Linked DNA regions of Lepisosteus oculatus. Each later gene encodes a partner of the first gene's protein in a complex. Links are inferred from orthologs where the notes say so. Each region holds a gene or a part of one and is shown on either strand. Other genes may lie near its edges.

Region 1 (10,910 bases):
TACTCTGTTGGGCCCCTGAGCAGGGGCCTTAACCCCAACTGCTCTGGGGGCGCTGTACAATGGCTGACCCTGTGCTCTGACCTCATGCTCTCTCCCTGTCTGTGTGTCTGTGTCTCATGGAGAGCAAGCTGGGGTATGCAAAAAGACAAATTCCTAATGCAAGATATTGTAAAGGGTTAATAAAGTGATGTTGTTAAATAGCTCTTCCAGCAGCAACCTTAGTTTTTCCCAGGAGGTCTCCCATCCAGGTATTGACCAGGCTCACACCCGCTTAGCCTCAGCAGGTTGCCAATTGTGAGTTGCAGGATGATATGGCTTGGTCAAAACACCCTCACTTGCAGATCTCAGTACCTAAATAAATTTACAGGGAAGTATACAAAACTAGATTTCCCAACACGACTTCCTAAACTACATAAAAAATACTGAATGAAAAGCATGGGAAATGATACAGCACAAGTACTGCTGACAAAGCAGTATTATGCTTTTCAAGGGTAAAAGCAAGATTCAAACAGCATGAGGCTCTATTAACTACTGATTTTTAAAAGATCTAGCTCATACTATTATTGTTTACCCTTCACCTAGTTTTTTAAACGAGCTCTACAAAGTTGTACAGAAAGTTTAAGATTTTTTGTAAATCTTCATCACCCATAGTTCATTAGGCAAGGTCGGTGTAACCTGGAGAAGCCTTATACCAGGTTTGTAAGTGAAGTGAAAAAGGCATTCACAGTCTACACTACATGATAATACTTCATCAATTTCCCTACAGGATTAATAAAGTATTATCTATCTATTTATCTATAATGGAACATACTATACTGATTTTTTTCCAGGAGTAATATTTCTTGTTGCGTTTAAGCCAAAAGTGCCTGGAATTTCTGCATTCTTCAGGAGCACATCAGCTGAACCTTCAGTACAAATACATCATCTATCATTTCTTAAGTACTTCTATTTCATCCTGTTAAAATATCTTATTATGCTAACATTTATAGTCCATGTAGCATAATGTAGCTTGGGTATGTAGCAAACCCAGTCTAATCTGAAATTGGCTAGATGCTCCTAACTACTAGAAGATGAAACTAGGATGCAATTATTTGAGTAACTGGAGATTTTTTATTTGTTTCTTTAACCCAGGACTTAGGTAAGCCCCAGAACTCAGGTACTATCACGCTGCATAACAGCAGTCTTCCCGATGCCTCACGCACCCAGCTGAAAACAGACATTGCAGTATTTTTCCCCACTTTTTCACCTGTTGCCTTTCCAATTTCTTGGCCAGCTTCTTCAGCACTGCAGGATCATCCACTTGAATGTGCTCTGGAAGCCGCTTCACAACTACAGTGAAGGAGAGGGAAAACCAAAGTTTGCAGTAGGACTTCCAAACTCTAATCAAAAGACTGTTGATATCATTCATCCAATGCCAAACCAATTCATCCCACAGCCCCAGCTGTACAGTAATACCACAGAGACAATGTTTCTATAATCTTCTTTACCTCAACAAGAAATTGATTAATTTTTAAGAGATCACTCCATTTATGAAAGGTATGCGAGTCAGACATACTATTATGTAAAGAAACAGCTACTTTTAGTACTTAATATATAACTACATAAGACACATGTGGGTAAACAGACAAATACACATTAATATATACGCCCTGATATGTTTTCATAAAAAAAAACAATTGGATACATGATCAGCACAAACTCGCTTTTCACAAGAACACTGTGTTTACACTCCTAAACAGAGCAGCAAATCTAGGCTTTTAACAGAGCTGTACCTGGCTGTGGTTCACTGGGAAGAGCCTTAGGCTTGGCAGTAGAAGGGGGCTGACCGGGGTCTTTTTTGCCTGTTTTGGCAGCTCGGTCCGCTTCCTGCCGGGCTCTTCTCTCTGCGCGCAGCTCTGCTTTGCTCTTGGCTGGGGCAGACTTCTCTACTCCTGCTGGGGCCTCAGACACCGAGCCTAACTGGGGGGCTTAAAAACAAAGCAATATCCACCGCTGGTTCAAAAAGCAAACACTGGTCAGGGGTTCACAGCTGTGTCGTCAAACAATGGGCTACTTTCACAAAAGCCACTCCAATGTATTTGACAAAAAAAGTAAGAATAAAAAACAATATCACAGCCTAAACGCACAGAATTTTAATTGGATTGTTCAGTCATGAAGTAAGAAGTAGAAACAGAACATGATATTTTATTCTGGATTTGGTTGACATTCCAATAGTTAAGTAAACTTGGTTCATTTTAAATACATTTTTTTTTTTAAAACGTTGATGCTAGACAAACACACAGTGCCTGATCTACCCACCCACACTCTTGTACGTCTTGGGGAATTGGTCCTCACACTGATTGCTTTCTCATTCAATAACTTTTTTTATCAGCAGGAAGGGACCCAGCTATTTAAATATTGCTGTCGACTGGGTAAAAGAATGCGTCTTCACTTGCCTACATTGGCTTTGTCCCTGACCTCTACAGGTGATACATCGATGACTGCGTCGGTGCTGCCACATGCTCCAGTGACCAATTAGAGTACTTTCTGAATCAATTCACCAACTTCCACCCATCCCTCAAAGATAAAAAGCACTGTGAAAACAGTATTTTGACCCTGAGCCGTGTAACCAGTGAGTACCGCCACGCGAGGGTGCCCCTCAAATACTCGCGCACTTGAAGTCCACACGTGCACTACGTCACAGAAGTGCGGACTTGGAGGAAGTGCTTAGAGCTCCGTACGAGAATTGGGACACGACATAAGCATTTCTGAATGTCTTTTGCAGCTTCTACAGGGTTTACTCATCATCTTACTTTGGAATTACATGCAAATTTGATGAATTTGTTAGCCAGAATCTAGATCATTGATATCAATTAGCACTAAGTGTTGACCAAATCCCAGTGGTTCTCCACAAAATACATCACCCCAGTCAGAACATTTCCTCTTATGTTTCCCCTCAGTTTCCTGTTCATTAACTAATTCTTAATCCAAGTATATTTATTACCTTGAATCCTTGTCATCTACAATCTAAGAATTAATCTTATGATAGACTTTAAAAACCTAATTAGAAATATTGTATGCTCTGTCTGTATTCATTGCCGCTGTTGGACATTCAAAGACCTCTAATCTATGCTGACTGTCCAGGTGATCCTTTAGCGTAGCCCTAATATTCCATGTAAAAGAAGTAAGACTAGATTATCGGTCTATAATTACTAGCTTCAATTTTATCACTGTTTTTACACGTAGGCGCTAAATTAGCAACTTTTCATTCCGGGGGTATTACCCCAGATTTGAGAGAAGGCAGGAAGAGGTTTGTTAATGGCCTATAAATTACATGAATTGTTATGTAACAAATAAGGTTCTGGTGGTACAGGAACACTGCAATGATTAAAATGGCAGCAAGTCAAAGTCCTCTTTTAGAATGAAAAGTTCTGAACCCCTGCATGTCCCTAATAGGATGGTGGAAACCCTACTCTTCTGTCAATGTTAAGTGCACTCGCAGCCCCTACCTTTCTGTGTCTGGGTCTGCTGTCCAATGGCAGGAACAACTGCTTTCTTCTCTTTCTCATTGTCTGCAGAACCCTTGTCCTCCTTCTTGTTTTTCTTCTGCTGCTTCTTCTCTTTTCGCAGCCGTTGCTTCTCCTCCTTGGACAGCTCCTTGCCCTCAGCCTGAGAGTAGCAGGTGAAACCGATTGTAAAAGAGCAGACATTCAGTTCTGTCGTGAACGGAGCTTGCCAGGCGGGACTGCTGCTGCTGATTCACTAAAATATCTCAGGAAAAAGCCCTTAGAATGCTGAGCTAACAAGAAGAATACACAATACAAACTGGTTCCCCTTCTCCATTCCACAACTGTTATTGAAACTGTTTCATAGAAGTCTTATCATTCTGTAGAACTTCATTGATATCATTTCTGCAGCAGTTGTCGCTAACCAAATACCAGCCACATGCTGCAATGAAATGGTTATTATTTTCAGAAATCAAAAGGTATGGAAAATTATGTCACTAACATACTTACTTTGCAGATTAATAAATCTTTTTTCTTTGGGTCACTTTCATCTGTAAAAAAAAAGAAGAAAATTAATAACAGCAGCACTTTTAACACAAGATCTTTATATCAACTGTAGATGTGAATTCACAATGCTTTAAGGTGGCAGAATACTGTAAAGGATTGTGAATAGACAGCATCACCTTAGTATTCATGATGCATCACTTGTCCCATCCACAAAAAATATGGTTCATAGCACAGCTGCTATAGAGGGTTAATTGCCCCTCATGGCAAGAAAACAACGGGAGTCTCTCCAGTAGAGACATTTGCATGTCGAGCCCTTTGGTCTTATTGTCATAATTTGAGCCTGGGTTGTGTCACTTGCCCAATGGTTCTTAATGGTAGTTCTGAAGGCAAACTTTCGGTGCGGATCCTAATTCCAGCTGAGCTCTACATCACTAAATTTGTTATGTAATTGATCTACTTGATTGTTAGGAATTTTATTTAACTTGCTTCTTCAGTCAGTCCTGAATGACAAACTATTTCTAACAGCTACAGCATAGAGAACCTTATGCAGACTCTACTCAAAATGACCACATAAAAGCTGCCTATACAGCTCTTATAGTTCACCAATTGATGATAAACAGACACAAGTAGGAATGATACTCTATCAGACAATCTGTGTATTTTTTTTTCAACCTTGAAGAGGCAGAAAAACAACCCAGTAGAAAACTGAACTCAATTAGCCTGTGATTTAGAACTTGCCTGAAGACAAAATTAGACACCAGAGGTTTTTTCCAGGATCAGGATTGTAAAACACTGCACTAGCCCACTGTGACTGGGATTTCACAAGCAGCAGCACTCAGCCAATCAAGCACCTCCACCTGGGAAACCCCAGTCACAGTGGGCTACTGCCGACTGTTAAAACACACCATTACTCCAAATCTCACTCCTCTTTGTTTTGGAAAAAAAAAACATAACTTCCTCTTCATACAGTCTTCGGAGATATCACTTAAACCTAAACTTTCTTTTTATAGGCAATAAAATAGGGAGTATTTTATAGGCACACAACCACTAATAAAAATGCTCTGATACAAGACAAAGGGTCCATACTTGAATACTGAAACATCAAGACAGTTGAAAAAGTGGTGGTTTTTACTCAAATAATTCTAAACAGGGAGGTCAAGCAAGACAAATCAGGGCTCCTCAAGATATCTCAGATGCCTTGAATACAGAAACTTTCAAGTCTTCTAAACGGTAATTTAATTACCTCACTTTTCTGGTAGGGGATTCTCTTTATACATGTACCTAAATGCCTGCCAGACATGGAAATTTCTGTATCTGATGCAATGCACATGAAACGTGACACACGCTTCGGCTCCTGCATGTATTTTACTATAAACGTACAACTGAATTAACAAAAATGTTGCACTCCACTAACTAATAGTAGCAACACTGCAGCAGCAGATCTATATCCTCAGTTTCTAATGTAAGAAAATTCTGTACATGACAAAACGTACAGTTAAGAGTGTGGTGTAACAACAGTGCAGACCTGACCATCCATATATCGGCATACACACAGGCCAATCTTCTATCGCCCTAGCTAAAAACAAACTCCATCTGGATCAAAACAAAGCTATTGTTACAGGCTGAGAAACCGGCTCACTGTTCTTATGGCGATCGAACAATTTCCAGGACCTTACCTTGCAACGCTGGGGTACTATCATTCCGTTGCACCTGGCCTCTCTCTCCTAAATCAGCCATGTTCAGCAACTAGAACGGTACAATTTGACACTCGATCCCATCATTCCGTTCTCCTCCCATGATTCAGTGCATTTGAACAACACAGGAGGTCCGCTGGAGGACCCGAGTGACGTCAGAGGTATTCCGGTTAAGGATTGTAGCAGTGAGCTAATTCGCCAACCGAATTAAATTTATTTCTGATGAAAAAGTACTAATGTAACTAACCTATTACTAACAACAAACATTTTGTAATCTAAATGTTATAAAAAAGGAAAAATCGCCTTAAGCGCTTTTACATTTTCTCTCCATTCATCACAGACTAATTCAAAAATGTTTGTAGTCTTCGCTTTTGTTTTCCCGTAACGGTACTGTAAATGTTATGCAAATTAAAATTTAGATGGGATCAAAATAACATTTATAGGACAAGCAAGTGACTGCAATGATAAATTATTTTTAATTTCTCCCCACCCCCCACGGCAAAATTTATTAATGGTTAATTTTTTTGGACATTACGAGATTAAAACTATGTGTGGCGCTGTGCAATAGAACCGAAAGCCGGAGTATGTTTCTTGTCCAACCTCAAACGCATCGCATTACTCCGTTAGATATTTTAGAGATGTTTTGTACTTAAGTATTTTAAATTATACTCACATCAGAATTACAATGCATTGCCCTAATGCCCCACTATAAAGTGTGCGCATAGATATAATAATAATAAAATAATAATAATAATAATAATAATTGCTCATACTTATATAGCCCTTATATTTTCTGGACTCTCCACTCAAAGCGGTTTACAGGTAATGGGGACTCCCCTCCACCACCACCACCAATGTGCAGCCCCTGTATCATCAGTGATATGCATGTATCATATTCGAACTTGAATGTAAAAAATGCAAAAGGATATTGAACACCAAGAATCAAAAATCGTACTGTACTTTTTAAATCCTTCTCAAAAACATAATTACCTTTTTGCAGTCAAACGTATTTATTACGTACATATGTATTGTACTGTATATAAAAAATAGTTGGTTTTAAAAGCGTGCTAAAATGTTCCTGAAAAAACATGCATTGTTACAATAACTGGAAATTAGAGCTGCATTATAGAGTGTAATCACTGTTTCTTAAACTAATGTGTTTTTTACACTTTTTTTTTACACTAGTGGGTGTCTTTTGCTTAATATTCTTTAGTTGGTATAGAAATTCTAATGTTTCATTATATTGTCATTGGTTACAATCCAGCTCCTGGGCCCTAGGTTTGATTTTAGCACAGGGTGCCATCTATGTGGAGTCTGCATGCTCTCACCTTGTCCACATTGGTTTTTCTTTGAGTGTTCCGCTTCCTTTCCACCTCCCAATGATGTGCTTGTCAGGATAACTGTTGTCTTTAAATTGTCCCTGCGTGTGTGTGAGAACTGCAATGGACTGTTGTCCCATCCAGGACGTAGTCCACCTTGCAGTATGCTTCTGGGCGTAAGCTATGGTTGCCACAATTCATACTAGGCTTCCTAGGATTGGATGATGGTCACACATTTTCTGCGCAGCAGTATAATGTGGAAACACTGGATGTCTCAGTTCTTGTATTCAAACGAACTGTTTAAAATCAATTTATTGGCCATATGCAATTTCTTGTATTAGGAAATTGTCTTTTCGCATACCCCAGCTTGTTCTCTATGAGACACAAAGCCACACAGACTGGAAGAGAAGCTTGGGGTCAGAGTGCAGGGTCAGCCATTTATACAGCACCCCTGGAACAGCTGCGGTTAAGGGCCTTGCTCAGAGGCCCTACAGAGTAGGATTCCTCTGCCGGCCGCTCCTTAGCCACAGAGCCACCACATGTAGGCCCCGTTAGACGACAACCCACAGATAACAACAAAAGGCTTTATGATCAGCATTAATCTATTCATTAATGTTTTATGAAACATGAAGAATAAAATATCAATGCACATTGCTGCGCTTTACAAACTACTAATGCTAACTTCTAATCTCACAGAGGTAATATTGTGTCTTACTGCTGTCACTATGAAGGTTAAGAAAGATCAACTGTATATAACACAGTAGACATACTGGAAGGTTAATTGGCTTCAGGGAAAATTTGTCCAGGAGTGAGTGTGTGCGTGATTGTGACTATGTATTTCTTGTGACAGACTGGTATCAGATTTAGGGTGTATCCTGCATTACGCCCAATGCTTGCCAGGATAGGCTCTGGCACCCCTTACCCTGTATTCGATAGAGTGGTTAAAAGTGGATCGATGTTGGACATTACATGGATGTCCGTAATGTAACAACTACATGTAAGCAAGACACCCATTCACTGTATATTCTCATAATCCTTTGCTAACCAAATATGTGTAAAATATTGACAATAGAGAACTGTGTGCCAGGAGAACACTGAAGAACACTGCTCACCTCATAGCCAATGTACCTATAAAACAGATGACTGTACTGGAAAGGGTGTGCGTAGGTCATAGATCTTTGTGAAACAGTTTCTATGGGTAACAACACCACCTTGTGGTCCCATATATACAAAACTGTAAGAATTTGCAAATAGTGCCTTAATAAGTAGTTCAAACATACCACTTCCGTTTGGTTTGGGTTGTGGCTGTGGCAGCTTTTCTGTTCACACAAGCAAATGACTCAAGATCTATAAATATTCAAGATGTATTACCAACTCATCAGTAATAATCTTTCTCTTAAAGTGGGTATGTTCAGCTGTATTCCAAAACGCTAAGACTCACAATCACAAGCCATTTAAAAGTGTGATTTGATGCCATTTCACTTTGTTGAATCCTTATTTTGAAAGTCTCTCAATGTGTGCAGTTCTTACTTCAAATTTTAAAATATATCAAGATAGCAGTAACTTCTTAATATTGTTGGAACAGCCTCTGATAAACTTTCAGTGGATTCAGAAGCACTGAAAAAGGGTAATGCACAAAGACATTTTTTCAAAGACAAAAGCTACATAGTTTATTTAGTTATTTTTGTAAAGTATGCTTCCCACCCTGCAAAAGAATCATGGCCATAAGAGTCTAATGTAGCAGAGCTTAAGAAATGCATCAAGTATGAAATGTTAAATATTCTGTTGGCATGTAATGGTTTTTAAACAATTTTGACACTGTACTGAAAGGTTGGCTAGGTGACTACAACCTTAAAGTGAAGCTTGAAAGATGACATATATCTAATCTCTTTTGAGAAACAGTTAATCTACAAAGTGTTACTCCCGACTATTAAAGCCCAGATTTTCCTGTCTGCATCTGTGTTTATGTTTCCTGTGCGGTTTCAATTATGTGACTGAGAAAGTGAAATGTGCGTATAAATAACATGAAGTAAGAGAAATACAATACATTGTATTTTAAGCATAAAGTCTTTGTACAGTATTCATAACATGATGTTCTAAAAAAGCAAGTCTGTTTTTCCAGTTAAATGTTTTTTTTAAATAAATGTAAATAAAATAAAGTTTTTTAGTTTGTTGTTTCAGTTGATTTGAGACATTTTAAGTGGAGAGTTTTATGATAGTGATTTAGAAGCCTTGTCATTAATTATTGATAAATCACTATTTTTAGTACCAATATGAATTTTGATATGTACTGTTATTGCTCTAGTAATACTTTTGTCACCCTGTAATATCTCAGTGCTAAACAGTGGTCTTTATCTGTGGGCTGTGGGCTGTGTCTGCGCAATAACGTACAGCTACGCTCTGCACAATTCCTGTGGGTTTTGTGTAGTTTTCCTGCATAATGTACAGGCATTCTGAACGTGCACAGCAGGCTTTTTAAAACAGGTGCACGATAGAAAATGAAATACTGCAGCATTCCTGCGTGCACATTTGTAATCACTCAGATTACTGCTAAGAGTCCTGCAGGGACAGAACCCAGAGAAATACATCCTACAAGATTGCTGTCAGAAATTAAACTGATGTTCATTTATTACGTATTTTATTTAACAGGCACAAATCCTGGGCACTTTAGGGTATTAGTTGAGTGTGGGTGAATAGGGATGTCCTGTGACAGCAAAATTTTTGGAAGGGATGTCTTTAGCAGCCCATTGTCTGACTCGGCAAGCTTGTAAATTCAACAAAGGAACTAGAGCAGAACCAGTTTTATCATCCCCCCCAAACTGAAAATTATACTCAAAACTCTTCGTCTCTTGTTGGTCATGTTTTTATAAGCTTTTCTTTTTATCAGAATAAAACTTTATTCAGTTTATGATGCCTGCATGAGAGAGGATTTTAGACACAAAATGAAAAACAGTTAAACAGTTTGAAAATTAAACATGTTTAATATATAGTTCATTTACTTTAGTGGTCTAACAGCCTATCATGTTTTGCTTTTCAGGTACTGTATTCATAAACTTATGTTAACATTTATAAATATGGTAAAGGTAAGTTTTGTAGAAACCAAATGATGAAACAGAATACAATGGAAGACATGAAGACAGCACACCTCTGTTTCAGAAGGAGTTGAAGTACACTGATGTCGATACTCATTCCGAAATATAATTGCAAAAATAAATAAAAAATATTCAGTGTTAATCAAAAGTTTATATCATATTCTTTGATCCCTCTTCATTTATTGTTTTCATATATCTCCATGTTTTGAAATAGCTCTGAGAAACGATTATTTTAAGACGTGTCTCTCCTGGCAAAATTAAGCAGTTGTAAAATCCCACAGAAATCCTTTAAAAGGATATTTACTGAAATCTTTCAAAATCCTTTAGAGGTCCTACAAGTTACTGATCAAACCTACAGTGTAGAAATCCTGTAAAAGTGATGGTTTTATCTTTTATGAATCCTGTAAAAATCATAAACAAAAATACATATAAAACCTGAGAAGATCCTGTACATTTATCAACTTGTACTAAAGGGATAAAGGAACGCATTATTGCCCACTTCTGCAGGAATACTATAGTAAAATAAAACGCTTTTGTACAGGACATTTCTCTAAGAAGTATAGACCTTTTCGTTCTGCCGGTTAACGTACTGTACATGCAATCCTTTATACAAACTTCCACGTTATTAAAAGGTGCTCATTTCGCGGGCCTTTGTTCACATTACATTTACATAAAACACACTCTGTCAGATTAGTTTTAAAAAATGATTGATCAGTATATATTGATCAGGGCTGATCTCCGAAGAGATCACTCTTCTGTGCCCCAAACACACAAAGATATACACGGCAAATTCACGGTAGTTAATGAACCTTG
Region 2 (10,749 bases), on another chromosome or scaffold:
GACTTTAAAATCCTCATGCTCACCTATAAGGCTCTGCATGGCTTGGCACCTCAGTACCTGTCTGAACTATTATCGCCCTACTCTCCACCTCGCAACCTTCGCTCATCTAATTCTTCTCTCCTTACTGTCCCCCAAGCCCTTCTACATTGTATGGGTGACAGGGGCTTGTCCTGTTATGCCCCAAGCTCTGGAACTCTCTCCCAAAGGATATCAGAGAGTCACCTTCTCTAAACTCCTTCAAAATCCAGACTCGAAACCCTCTTCTTCAGAAATGCCTTTACTTAACTGGTTTCATTCTTCACCCCTCTGCTTTTCTTAGTACCACCATCCACAGTCTCCTCTTTATATTGTAATTGTGTATTCTTCTTATTTATTGTTGTTGTCATCCTGTAAAGCTCTTTGAGAAGCCACCTTTAAAGGCGCTTATATAAAATAAGGTTTTATTATTATTATTATTATTATTATTATTATTATTATTATTATTATTATTAAATACTTCTGATCTCAACTCTTATTTTGTCAGTAATGTTAATTATATACAAATTTTGCTTCAGGAAAAACAATATGTCTACTGATGTTACAGAGTGTTATGAACGAGTAAACTGCCAACCTATTCTTAACAAAATGTAGTACATTTAAGAAGGTTTTAAAGAAAACATTACAATGAATTATATCTGTAAAAATAGCTTTAAATCTCTCTGCAAAACTTTAACTTTATTAAGACAACTGTGAAAGCACAAAAGCTGTTACAGTATGTTGGAATCTGGAGTTGGCTGGATTGTGCTGTGACAAGACATTGAGTGCTGGCTGGTTGTCACTGGGGCTGAAAGGTATTGTGCACAGAAAACTCCTTTGACTGTTATGGGTAAGATTTTCATAGCTCAGCCTGGTATTTAACACATTCCTGCCCAGTGACGACTGTACAGATTATATTGCATGGAGCCCAAGAGATCGCTGACAACAGAAAACGCATATATTAAGGGTTGTCCTGATCTTGGCAACGTCCCTGTGTGACACATTTTCTCCACTTATTGATGATAGTCTTCACAGTGCTCCATGGTACATCCAATGCCTTTGATTGTCAGCTCCTTGTGGACCATGGCTATCCCAGGAGGATGCAACCATGAAAGTTTCAAGGAAATCCTACAGGAAATTCTGATTTTTATTTGGGGTTAATCAGAATCACTTTCATTGATGGCATGTGTATGCTACTTACCTTTGGACATGATTTTGAATGTGATTGGTTAACTCTGAACAGCTACAGCACCCACTATAAAATGGTGTGCACACTCATGGAACCAGGGTGTTGTAGGTTTTTTTAATTTCAATTATTTTTCCTAATAATTATCTATTTGTTTTTCTCTTGAATTTTGTTGGTTTCAAGGTCACATTAAATATGGAAAATTCTCTGACATGATTTATCTTGATTTCTGGCTTTACACCACAAAAACCTGTAATTTCAATAAGGGTGCGTAGACTTTTTATATCCACTGTATATGGGTACCTTAGGGTGATTTTTTTAGGGTGACTATAACAACAAAGACCTGTCACTCACTTATTCTGGAAACATACAGCACTGTCAAAAATGACCATGGTTAGATTACTCATGTAGAGGTAGAGTCCCCATGACTCTTTGGCTTAGGACACAATGTGGTGCTGCAGTCTGGACAGTAATGTTCAGGAAATGTGGATTCTGCCTGTTGCATTGAGATTCGCAATGGCCTTTTGTCAAAGTACAGCAGTATTTTTTCTAGGGTATTCTAGTTCACATTACCTAGTAAGTAACTGAAAAACAAAGTAAAATAGAGCATATTTCAACCATGGCCTAGCTCAACACCACACAGGACACAACACATCATCCGTCCTTCGGATGAGATGTAAAACCGAGGTCCTGACTCTCTGTGGTCATTAAAAATCCCAGGGCGTTTCTCGAAAAGAGTAGGGGTGTAACCCCGGCATCCTGGCCAAATTTTCCCATTGGCCTTTACCAATCATGGCCTCCTAATAATCCCCATCTATGAATTGGCTACATTACTCTGCTCTCCTCCCCACTGATACCTGATGTGTGGTGAGCGTTCTGGCGCACTATGGCTGCCGTGGCATCATCGAGGTGGATGCTGCACATTGGTGGTGGTGGAGGGGAGTCCCCATTACCTGTAAAGCACTTTGAGTGGAGTGTCCAGAAAAGCGCTATATAAGTGTAAGCAATTATTATTATTATTATTATTATTATTATTATTAACACTAAAGGCCAAAATCAAATTGGTGCTTAAAAAAGTCCATGTCTATGTAAATGTGGCCTAAGTTGTTTAAAGAAGATATTAAGAAAAAAGGAGCACTCTAGAGAGAGCTCTACAGTGTAAAATACCAAAATTAAAATGGAAAAAGAGCATACTGAGCCACATCTGAAAAATTGTATTACTATTGCTTAGAAGTAGACTTAAAAGAATACTGTACTTCACTAGACACAAATAATTATAGTAGAGCATTTTTTCCTGTACTGCAGCAGTGAAAGAATAATTTATAATAGCTTAAGAAATAACAGTGGATTAATAGAAGATGATAATGAAATAGTAACCATGCTAAATGAATATTTCATGCAAGCTTTTACAGTTAAAGATTTCAATAACACATCCACTGCTAAACAAAACATTAGTTTTAGGGTAATTTTAACATGTCTGAAACTGAGGTTCAACAGGGGTTAAGATTGCTCAAAACCAAAAAATTGACTAGGCCTCACCATATTGAATCCATAGCATCCTGTTTTCTGTTTTAATGTCCTCATCAAGACAATATGGTGAATCAAATAAAAAGAAACCGAATGCTTCAGTATATAGAAGTGTTTAACTTAACTCCAGGGAAGTTATGCTTATGCTTTACAATGTACAAGTAAAAACTCACTTTATAATACTATGTTCAGTTCTGGCCACAATACCAAACAATGATATTGTACATCTATACAAATGTAAAAATAGTTCAATGGAGAAACAATAATTTTTCAAAGGCTCAAGGTTAAATCTTTTCAGTCTAGGACAAAGGAAAATGAGAGGAGAATTATTCAATTTTAGAAGATCCTAATAGGTATAAATAAGGTTTTCTTGTTAGGTTTCTTCTCATCAGCATCCCTCTCTTATGTTTTTATTAAGACTACTAGACACAAAGCGTCTCTGTAACTGTATTACTGGAATGCTTTCATCCAGACTGCCCAGCATTGCTAAATTATCTACAGAAAGTAAAGATTCTGCTGCCTTGGTAGCAAATAAAAGGCCTGCACTATAAAGAGTTAAACTTTTCTAACGACGCAAATGATATGTGTGTTTCTGTGGAAAAAAACATTCATCAACCACTAAGACAAAAAAAAAACCTTTAAAATATCACACACATGCAGACGTTACAGTGCTTGTTCTAAAACCATCCTGAGCTGGGAAAATATTAGTTTTGTATTGACTGAGATAAATTCCAGACATCACACAGAGAGAGCAGAGCTCTGTTGAAAAAATTAGCTGTTCTTTCTCACATGATCTAGGGCCTGTCGCACAATAATCCTTCCTCATTTAGAACAACTTTTTGAGTCACGTTACCCTACACACAGATATACTACCTATACACTCGCTTCACATTTTTGTAAATATGTATTTTTAAATATATGTCAAATTAATGTAACATTACTAAAAACTTCAAAGAATATTAAATATGTCATTGAGGACATATCACACCATAATCATCTATCTTTAAAAACAAAACTTAAAAATATATAAGTAAAGCTTTTTACACACTCGATTCAAAAAAGGCAGTTGCGTCCTGTCAGGAACAATTTGTTCCAACTTTCGGAACAAATTGATTTGACAAATGTACAAATTAAGCTTAATATAACGTCTGGAATGCTTCTGTCGTTGTGCTGTTATATTATTCGTTATGCGTTGCAGAAACGAACTGGATGTTGCAAGAATAATTATACTCACATTCTGGATGGGAAAATTTCGATCCTGTCCTTGCCTGACATGTTGTTGGATGCAAGCGACGCGTCTTTGATTTGCCTAGGTTCAGTATACTTTTATTGCAATAGAATTTATCCTAGGAAAACTGTTCTTTATTAAGACGTCCTTCCTTATAATGATTTCCCTATTCAATAGCTTTCGGGAAAAAGCAAACTGGAAATCTCCCTGGTCAACAGTGTCAGTCAGAGGCGAATCAGCTGGGTAAACGTCATGTGACAGAGGTGGCGAAGGTCAAAGGTAAAACTGGGTACGTCAGAACCAACGACATGTCAGTAAGAACCGAAGGACAGAAGTTGTACCTTTTGAATAGTAGCAAAAATATGAAAGTAAAAAAATATATATGAAAACATTATTTTTATTTAATTTGTTTAATCTTTTTACATAACTTGAATTTATGTAGTAGTATCTACCCCTGACGATCTTTTTGTCTTGAACTGTTATATGTACTTTTGTTTGTATTGTAATTTTTGTTAATCTCTTATGCATAAATAAAAAAAAAACCTTTTGAATAGTATTATTTATTTTAAGTACTTGTCTTGTTTTATTAATTAAATAATTTCTCGAATAATGCCGCAAAAATTGTATTATTAATTTTGCCATGCTTGAAGCTTTTAATGAAACATAAAAACGAAATTTCTAAATTCCTTAGATTTTAAAAAATCGTTTTATGAGGGTTTATGAGCGGTTTTCAAGCTCTGTGTTTTTCGCTCGTTAGCTACAGTTCTCAAACGTAGAAAAGCTCCAGTGGTCTTTCATACTATTGGATGCTAATTTCAATTATTTGCTCGTATAATTCAAAAATATGCTTTTTCTATCGATCATAAATGTGTGAGTAATCGTCTGCATCAGTGTATTCTTTCAACCACTGACAAAAGAAAAACAAATTTTCCTGAGAATTGAAACGGAGAAAAACAAATATATATATATATATTCTATATAACAAATGTGTCTACATCATCGAGACAGTTTTGTTGTATTTTAGGTTTTGGTAACAGATGTACTTTTCTTATTCTCGTGCATAAGAACAGCAACTTTCACCTCCACTAGGTGTCACCGTCACAAAACTTGCGAAGCCGATTCCCTTTTCATAGTTTCCTTTTCCGGGTCAGGGTTTACGTGTTTGTGCGTCCATGCTGAGGAAACTAACTGCGCTTAAGGTTTAGGCCGTTCTCAGCGTTTAACTAGAAAATACATTTTTTTCTGCGTAACTTTGTCGAGAGGAGAAATACTCAAACGTAGGTGAATTATTCAACATTACGGAGTTTGGATCTCTATCAAGAATAAAGGTAGTGTCGCTTTTTAATCCCTTGGTTCAGAAAATGAATGAATTGGGTGGAGGGGGAGAGTAGTCTTGCTACATGTGATGTTACTGTAGAAACTGATACAGATGTGGCTGATAATAAACTAGCTTTTTGGCCAGAGGTTTATTCGGGACAGTCATTCACCATCTAATGTTGTTACGAATCTCAGCGGTCTGGTCACACAACCTGTCTTCGTTAGAGCGTTGTAGTAATTTGCTTTGGGAAAAGTGCCTCAAAATGTTACAAAGATGCAGTTTATGTGCCAGATTTACTCAAGAAGTCATATAAAAAACTAACAGAAGTGCGTAACGATACCATTCTTCTGAGAAGAGTTGCAGAAGTCGCCACATGCCTTCAAAATTCAACTGTATATATACGATATTGTAAAGTGGTCTCAGTGTATTGGGAAATTAAAATGACAGGAACTGAAATTGACCGATTCTTTCACCATTGACTGAAAATTTCAGTTTACGAAAAAGGCAGGAATATGCACAGTCGGTCGTGTTCTGGTGAAGTGATTATCCCAAGTCTCCTTAATTTTTCACGATAGTCTTTCGGGACATGCGATTGAAGCAGTAATGCCCATTATTAAAAAGGTCATCCTAGACTAGTGGTGGCTTTATTCAATACCCCCTCTTATATATTTATATGGCACGCTCTTGTGCCCAAATCATTTGCTCTTCAGACCATTCTTGTATTACCACATGTATTTACCACATGAAAACCTGCCCTATACCACTTCTCATGCGAGATAGTCGTCTTACTCTTTCTGGGAGCTGGCTGATACGCAAAAACAGTTATAAATCGTGTTAAAATTAGTAAAGTTATAAAACACATCAGAAAAAGAAAATATTACATGGTGAGTTTGGCTGTGTGATGTTAGGTTGCTATTATGTGCCAGCAGCCCCATAACAGAACAGAAATTGTGTCATCAAATTAATTAAGTGATAACTTTAGGTAGGCTGAATTGCACAGGCCCAGAAGTGAATTTAGCCAAGCCACCAGAGCCGGTGCCATGGGATTTTAATGACCAAGTAGTTTACACCTAAGTGTAATATCTAATCTAAGGGATACATCTTATACAGCAGAGTGGTCTTGGTCACCATACTGAGGCATCAGTTTTCAAATTCTAATCCACCAACACAACCTGTTTTGTTTGGGAGGTCTCCTATCCTATTACTGATCAGGGCCAACTCTTGATCAGCTTCTGAAATCTCATGAGATCACGCTACAAGATGGTTAGTTAGGAGTCAAGATCTTCACAGTATCTGCAACTGTATTTTATTTATCTTTCTAGATATTAGATCTCATTTTGTGGTTATCTTTCAAGATAGATTTCATTTTGTGGTTAGAGTATTTGTACTTTTTGTTTGGCTGAGTTTTCATCTCCCCTGCAGCTATTTAGCTATTCGTAAAGACATTATCACACGTTTCTGGTATTGGTTGTAAGTGATCTTTTGTTTCAAATTGAATTCTATTTGATGTCCCTGCTGCTTTAATGTGAAACATCACAATGTACAATTAGAGCAACCAAAGCACTTTTGAATGCTTCTATAAGGTCTGCGTATATAGCAATTGAAATCCTTCAGATGTATTGTTTCTGAATAGTTTCTGGAACAATAAGACTTGGACTACTTCACTAAGATTTCATCCAAAACTACTAATAGCTTTATTTTTCTTTTCTTACAGTATACTATAGCAACAGGGTTCATGTAGTATACACATGATTCAGTGCTTTAGAAACTGACTACTATAATCTAAAGAAAATTGATTTTAATTAATTTATTAAATTTCCTTATTTAAATTTGATAATATTTAACACTGTTTTTCATTACAAAGCCAGTCCCATAGAATTACAGTTCTTTTTAGAACACTCAGTTCAATCCTTCACAGGTTTGTGGTATAACAAATATAGAGTGAAGTAAAATGTGTCGCTTTTGCTGCATACTTTTCCAAATTGTATTTCAGATTTAAAGATGAACATAAGGCAGCTTAAACAGAATGCAAGCTTTTATATTGGGATATTTTTGTGCATACATGTTTAAAAAAAATGGTTTTATGGTCAGTCCCTCCTGATTTGTTTTGTCAGCAAAAGTATTGAGACAAATTAACTTTGAGTTAATTACCCCTTACAAGTGATAACTGCTTCAAGTCTGCAACCCAACAACATCACCAGACTTGATATTTTCCTTTGAGATGCTTTGCCAGCTCAGAAGTTTCCACTTCTTCTTCCTGATGAACCCTACTGCCTTGGCTAAGTGTGCAGTATATTTTGGGCCATTGTCTTGTTGCAGGTTGAATTGCCATCCACTGAGTTTTAGAGCATTTTTTGGACATAGACAAGATATTTCCACACACTTCAGAATTCATTCTGCTGTTACCATTAGTTATATCCTTAAGAAAGACCAGTCAGCTAGATCTGGAGGTAGCCTTGTATGCAAAAGCCATGACACTAACTCCAGTATGTTTTACTGATGAGGTGGTGTGCTTAGGATCATGTGCAGTTCCTCTCCTTTTCCCCTCTTTTGTCTTTCCATCACTTTGATAGAGGTTTATGTTCATCTCATCTATCCATGAAACTTTTTTTCCAGAGCTGTTGTGGCTCATCTTTGTACTTCTTTGCAGATTATAACCTGGCCTTTTTGTTCTTAGTGCTGATAAGACTAAAAAAGGCTTAAGAGTTTTGAATCTTGCAGTTTATCTCTTGTAATTCTCCTGTCACAACACAATGAATTGAAATACTTTCACCTCTGCACTCTGGAGATTGTCTGTAATCTCTTTGGCTGTTATTGTAGGGGTTTTCTTTACAGCTCTAATGATTTTTGTATCAATTGTTGTCATCTTCCTTGAAGTACCTGGTATTTGCCAAATGCTTACACCTCTAGTACTTTCTTCCTTTTCAGCACATTCTATAATTGATTTTGTGATGCCCAGTTTCTCTGCAGTGGCTCTAATTGGAATTTTCTTTGCTTTCATTTTCTTACTTGGTTTTTCATCATAGACAACTGTCTAGTCATCATCTTGATTAATGTTTCTAACTCAAGGGGCAGACTGAAAAAGTAAACACCCAAAGACTAGAACCAAGGCTATACATTCACAATTTTTGTGTCTTCACTTGAGCAATTAGAAACATTTGTTCTAATATTTGTGCTCATCTGAAATGGGGGATTTAAACACAACAACTGACATTTTTTTAGTATTGTGTGCAAAAGTGTTCCCAGAAACAAAGACTGGAATTCTGTACTTTACCTTATATTAATCTTTTGATCTGAAATTCATATTTCATTAGTAATTTAAAATCATTCGCATATATGACAAATTTCACTTCACTGTCCCAGTAATTATGCTTTTCACTGTATGGCTGAAATACGTATGCTGTTGAGCAAAGGCTTGCGATTTTGTGCTGACCTACATCAGTGTATAAAGGTACAAGTTATCTAGTTTGAAAGTCTATGCACTAGAGCTGTCTTTCCCTGCCTTTCCTGTGTGTGTGTCATGCCATGGGATGTGCCTTTTCTGTTGCCAGCATGCCGGGGCTCAGCTGTAGATTTTACCAGCACAAGTTCCCGGAAGTGGAGGATGTGGTAATGGTGAACGTACGCTCCATCGCAGAGATGGGTGCCTATGTCAGCCTGCTGGAGTACAACAATATCGAGGGTATGATCCTGCTGAGCGAGCTCTCTCGGAGACGAATACGCTCCATAAACAAACTCATCCGCATCGGCCGCAACGAGTGCGTGGTGGTCATCAGGGTGGACAAGGAGAAAGGTGAGTAGCACAAGCAAGTGTTGCCTGAGAATCTAGGCAAGAGCTGGCCTGTGAAGCAGTGACCTCTCTCTGCTTGTCCTTGAGGGAATTTTGCCAAATCGATCAATTCAGTAGAGAGCCATGATGTTACAAAGGCAGTAAATTATAGTCCAGTTTCTTCCCATGTGTGGTTGATTTGAATCTGTGTTTTGAATGGTTTCTTTTCACCTGGACTCTAACCAGCTTCGTGGAACTAATATGACTGATTAGGCCTTTTTAATTTTTAAATCATAAAAAGTTAGTTAATTAGTACAGGTATAACAACATCTCTAAATTACAAGTTTTATGGCTGCAAACGATTAAAACATCTTAATTTGGTTATTATATACGTTTGGGTCAGTGATTAATTATGTGTTCTGCTGAAACAAAAACTACCTGACAGTGGAGTTACAGCCAGCTGGACTGGGAACCCTAGTTCTAAACCCTGATTTTCAGGATTTTTGGTTCACCCATGTTCTGGAGACATTTTTAGCTTCATGGCCTTCATTTTGAGTAGTGTGGTAGATGTCTCAAATGTTTTACTTTTCCAGTGCAACCAATAAAGCTGCATGATGAAGTTTTTATGGGAGAGTTGTAATGACTAAGGTAATAGTTAATATTGAAAAACAATGAAAAGATTTTGGGGGGAGAAACGGTTTAACAGAGTAAAAGGTTGAAAGGTCATTCCATCTTGCGCTTCAATCACATAATTGAACAAATCGGATTTGTGAGCAAAGAAGTCAAATCCAATGTCTTTTCCAGGTCAGGTTTTATAAATCAGATGCAAATTGAGAGGTGCCTCAGAAACCTACAGGAACCCAACCTTTGTGGTTGCCTGCCCCTCTTCTGAAGCAGTGGCAAGTGATTGTTAGAAAGCTACTGGGAGGTAAACTTGTAACTGGCCCAGAATTTGCAAGAATTTCCTTATCTGTCACCGCACTGTCTGTTCTTAAGTTCAGAACAGAACCATATATTTCCATTCTTCTTTAGAACAGATCGGATGATTTGAGAATGTCACGGAGGTTGTCTTATCTCTCCCAGCACAGAGCAGCCCACGATGTGAGTTAGCAAATGCGCGCAATGACAGTCAGCATTAAAGAATGGATTGAACGTACTAGTGTTCCTCATCTTGAGGTCTTTTCAGTCATTGTATTGGAGCCCATTGTATCTGTTGGCAGACAGAACCAGTAACCACTACAGTGTGATGTGACAAACCAAACTATTTTCAAACCATAGTTGATTTCAGTGAAGGTATATTTGTACTTCATGGGCTGCTGAATTGTTCCTGCTGTATTAAACTTTTCAACTTCATACAGGTCTTGTCAAACTCCAGTCTGTTTGTAAATAACTCATCACTTTTTATTTTATGTCAAAAGGTTATATTGATTTATCCAAAAGGAGAGTTTCTCCAGAAGAGGCCATCAAGTGTGAAGACAAATTTACAAAATCCAAAACTGTAAGCAGCTATTTTTTTATGTTTTTTATTAAAGAATCAATTTACATGTAAAATATACATACAGTGTTTGGCTTTTTCTTCATTTTTTATATTAACAGTTACATTTTTTATACTCCATATGTTTTTCTAGAAATCTGGGTGCATAATCACGATCAAAGTATATTCTGTTATTTTTATAATGTATTTTTTCCCATGATTTTGTGGGGAT

What was found. Proteins that work in one complex are often made in the same cells at the same time.
Region 2: the proteins of eif2b4 (region 1) and eukaryotic translation initiation factor 2 subunit 1 are in contact, whole or in part, in a cryo-EM structure (PDB 6O81), measured with the Homo sapiens proteins. The link is inferred for Lepisosteus oculatus from reciprocal best matches to the Homo sapiens genes EIF2B4 and EIF2S1. Residues at the interface, in NP_001029288.1 of Homo sapiens: Asn245, Glu246, Glu247, Arg250, Thr285, Ser520, Ser521, Asp522; in NP_004085.1 of Homo sapiens: Met30, Tyr33, Met45, Arg55, Arg57, Arg75, Glu79, Lys80, Tyr82.

Annotation. Positions count from the first base shown.
Region 1 is NC_090697.1:17,195,010-17,205,919, forward strand, and holds the start of eif2b4 (translation initiation factor eIF2B subunit delta), read right to left. Parts: upstream 5,791-10,910; 5' UTR 5,730-5,790; coding exon 5,669-5,729; intron 4,037-5,668; coding exon 3,996-4,036; intron 3,649-3,995; coding exon 3,489-3,648; intron 1,968-3,488; coding exon 1,773-1,967; intron 1,330-1,772; coding exon 1,247-1,329; intron 1-1,246. UniProt on the Homo sapiens protein: Acts as a component of the translation initiation factor 2B (eIF2B) complex, which catalyzes the exchange of GDP for GTP on eukaryotic initiation factor 2 (eIF2) gamma subunit.
Region 2 is NC_090703.1:26,161,211-26,171,959, forward strand, and holds the start of eukaryotic translation initiation factor 2 subunit 1, read left to right. Parts: upstream 1-5,105; 5' UTR 5,106-5,284; intron 5,285-8,825; 5' UTR 8,826-8,826; coding exon 8,827-9,067; intron 9,068-10,461; coding exon 10,462-10,541; intron 10,542-10,749. Other genes in the region: atp6v1d (V-type proton ATPase subunit D), read right to left, coding at 3,963-4,003. UniProt on the Homo sapiens protein: Member of the eIF2 complex that functions in the early steps of protein synthesis by forming a ternary complex with GTP and initiator tRNA. This complex binds to a 40S ribosomal subunit, followed by mRNA binding to form a 43S pre-initiation complex (43S PIC).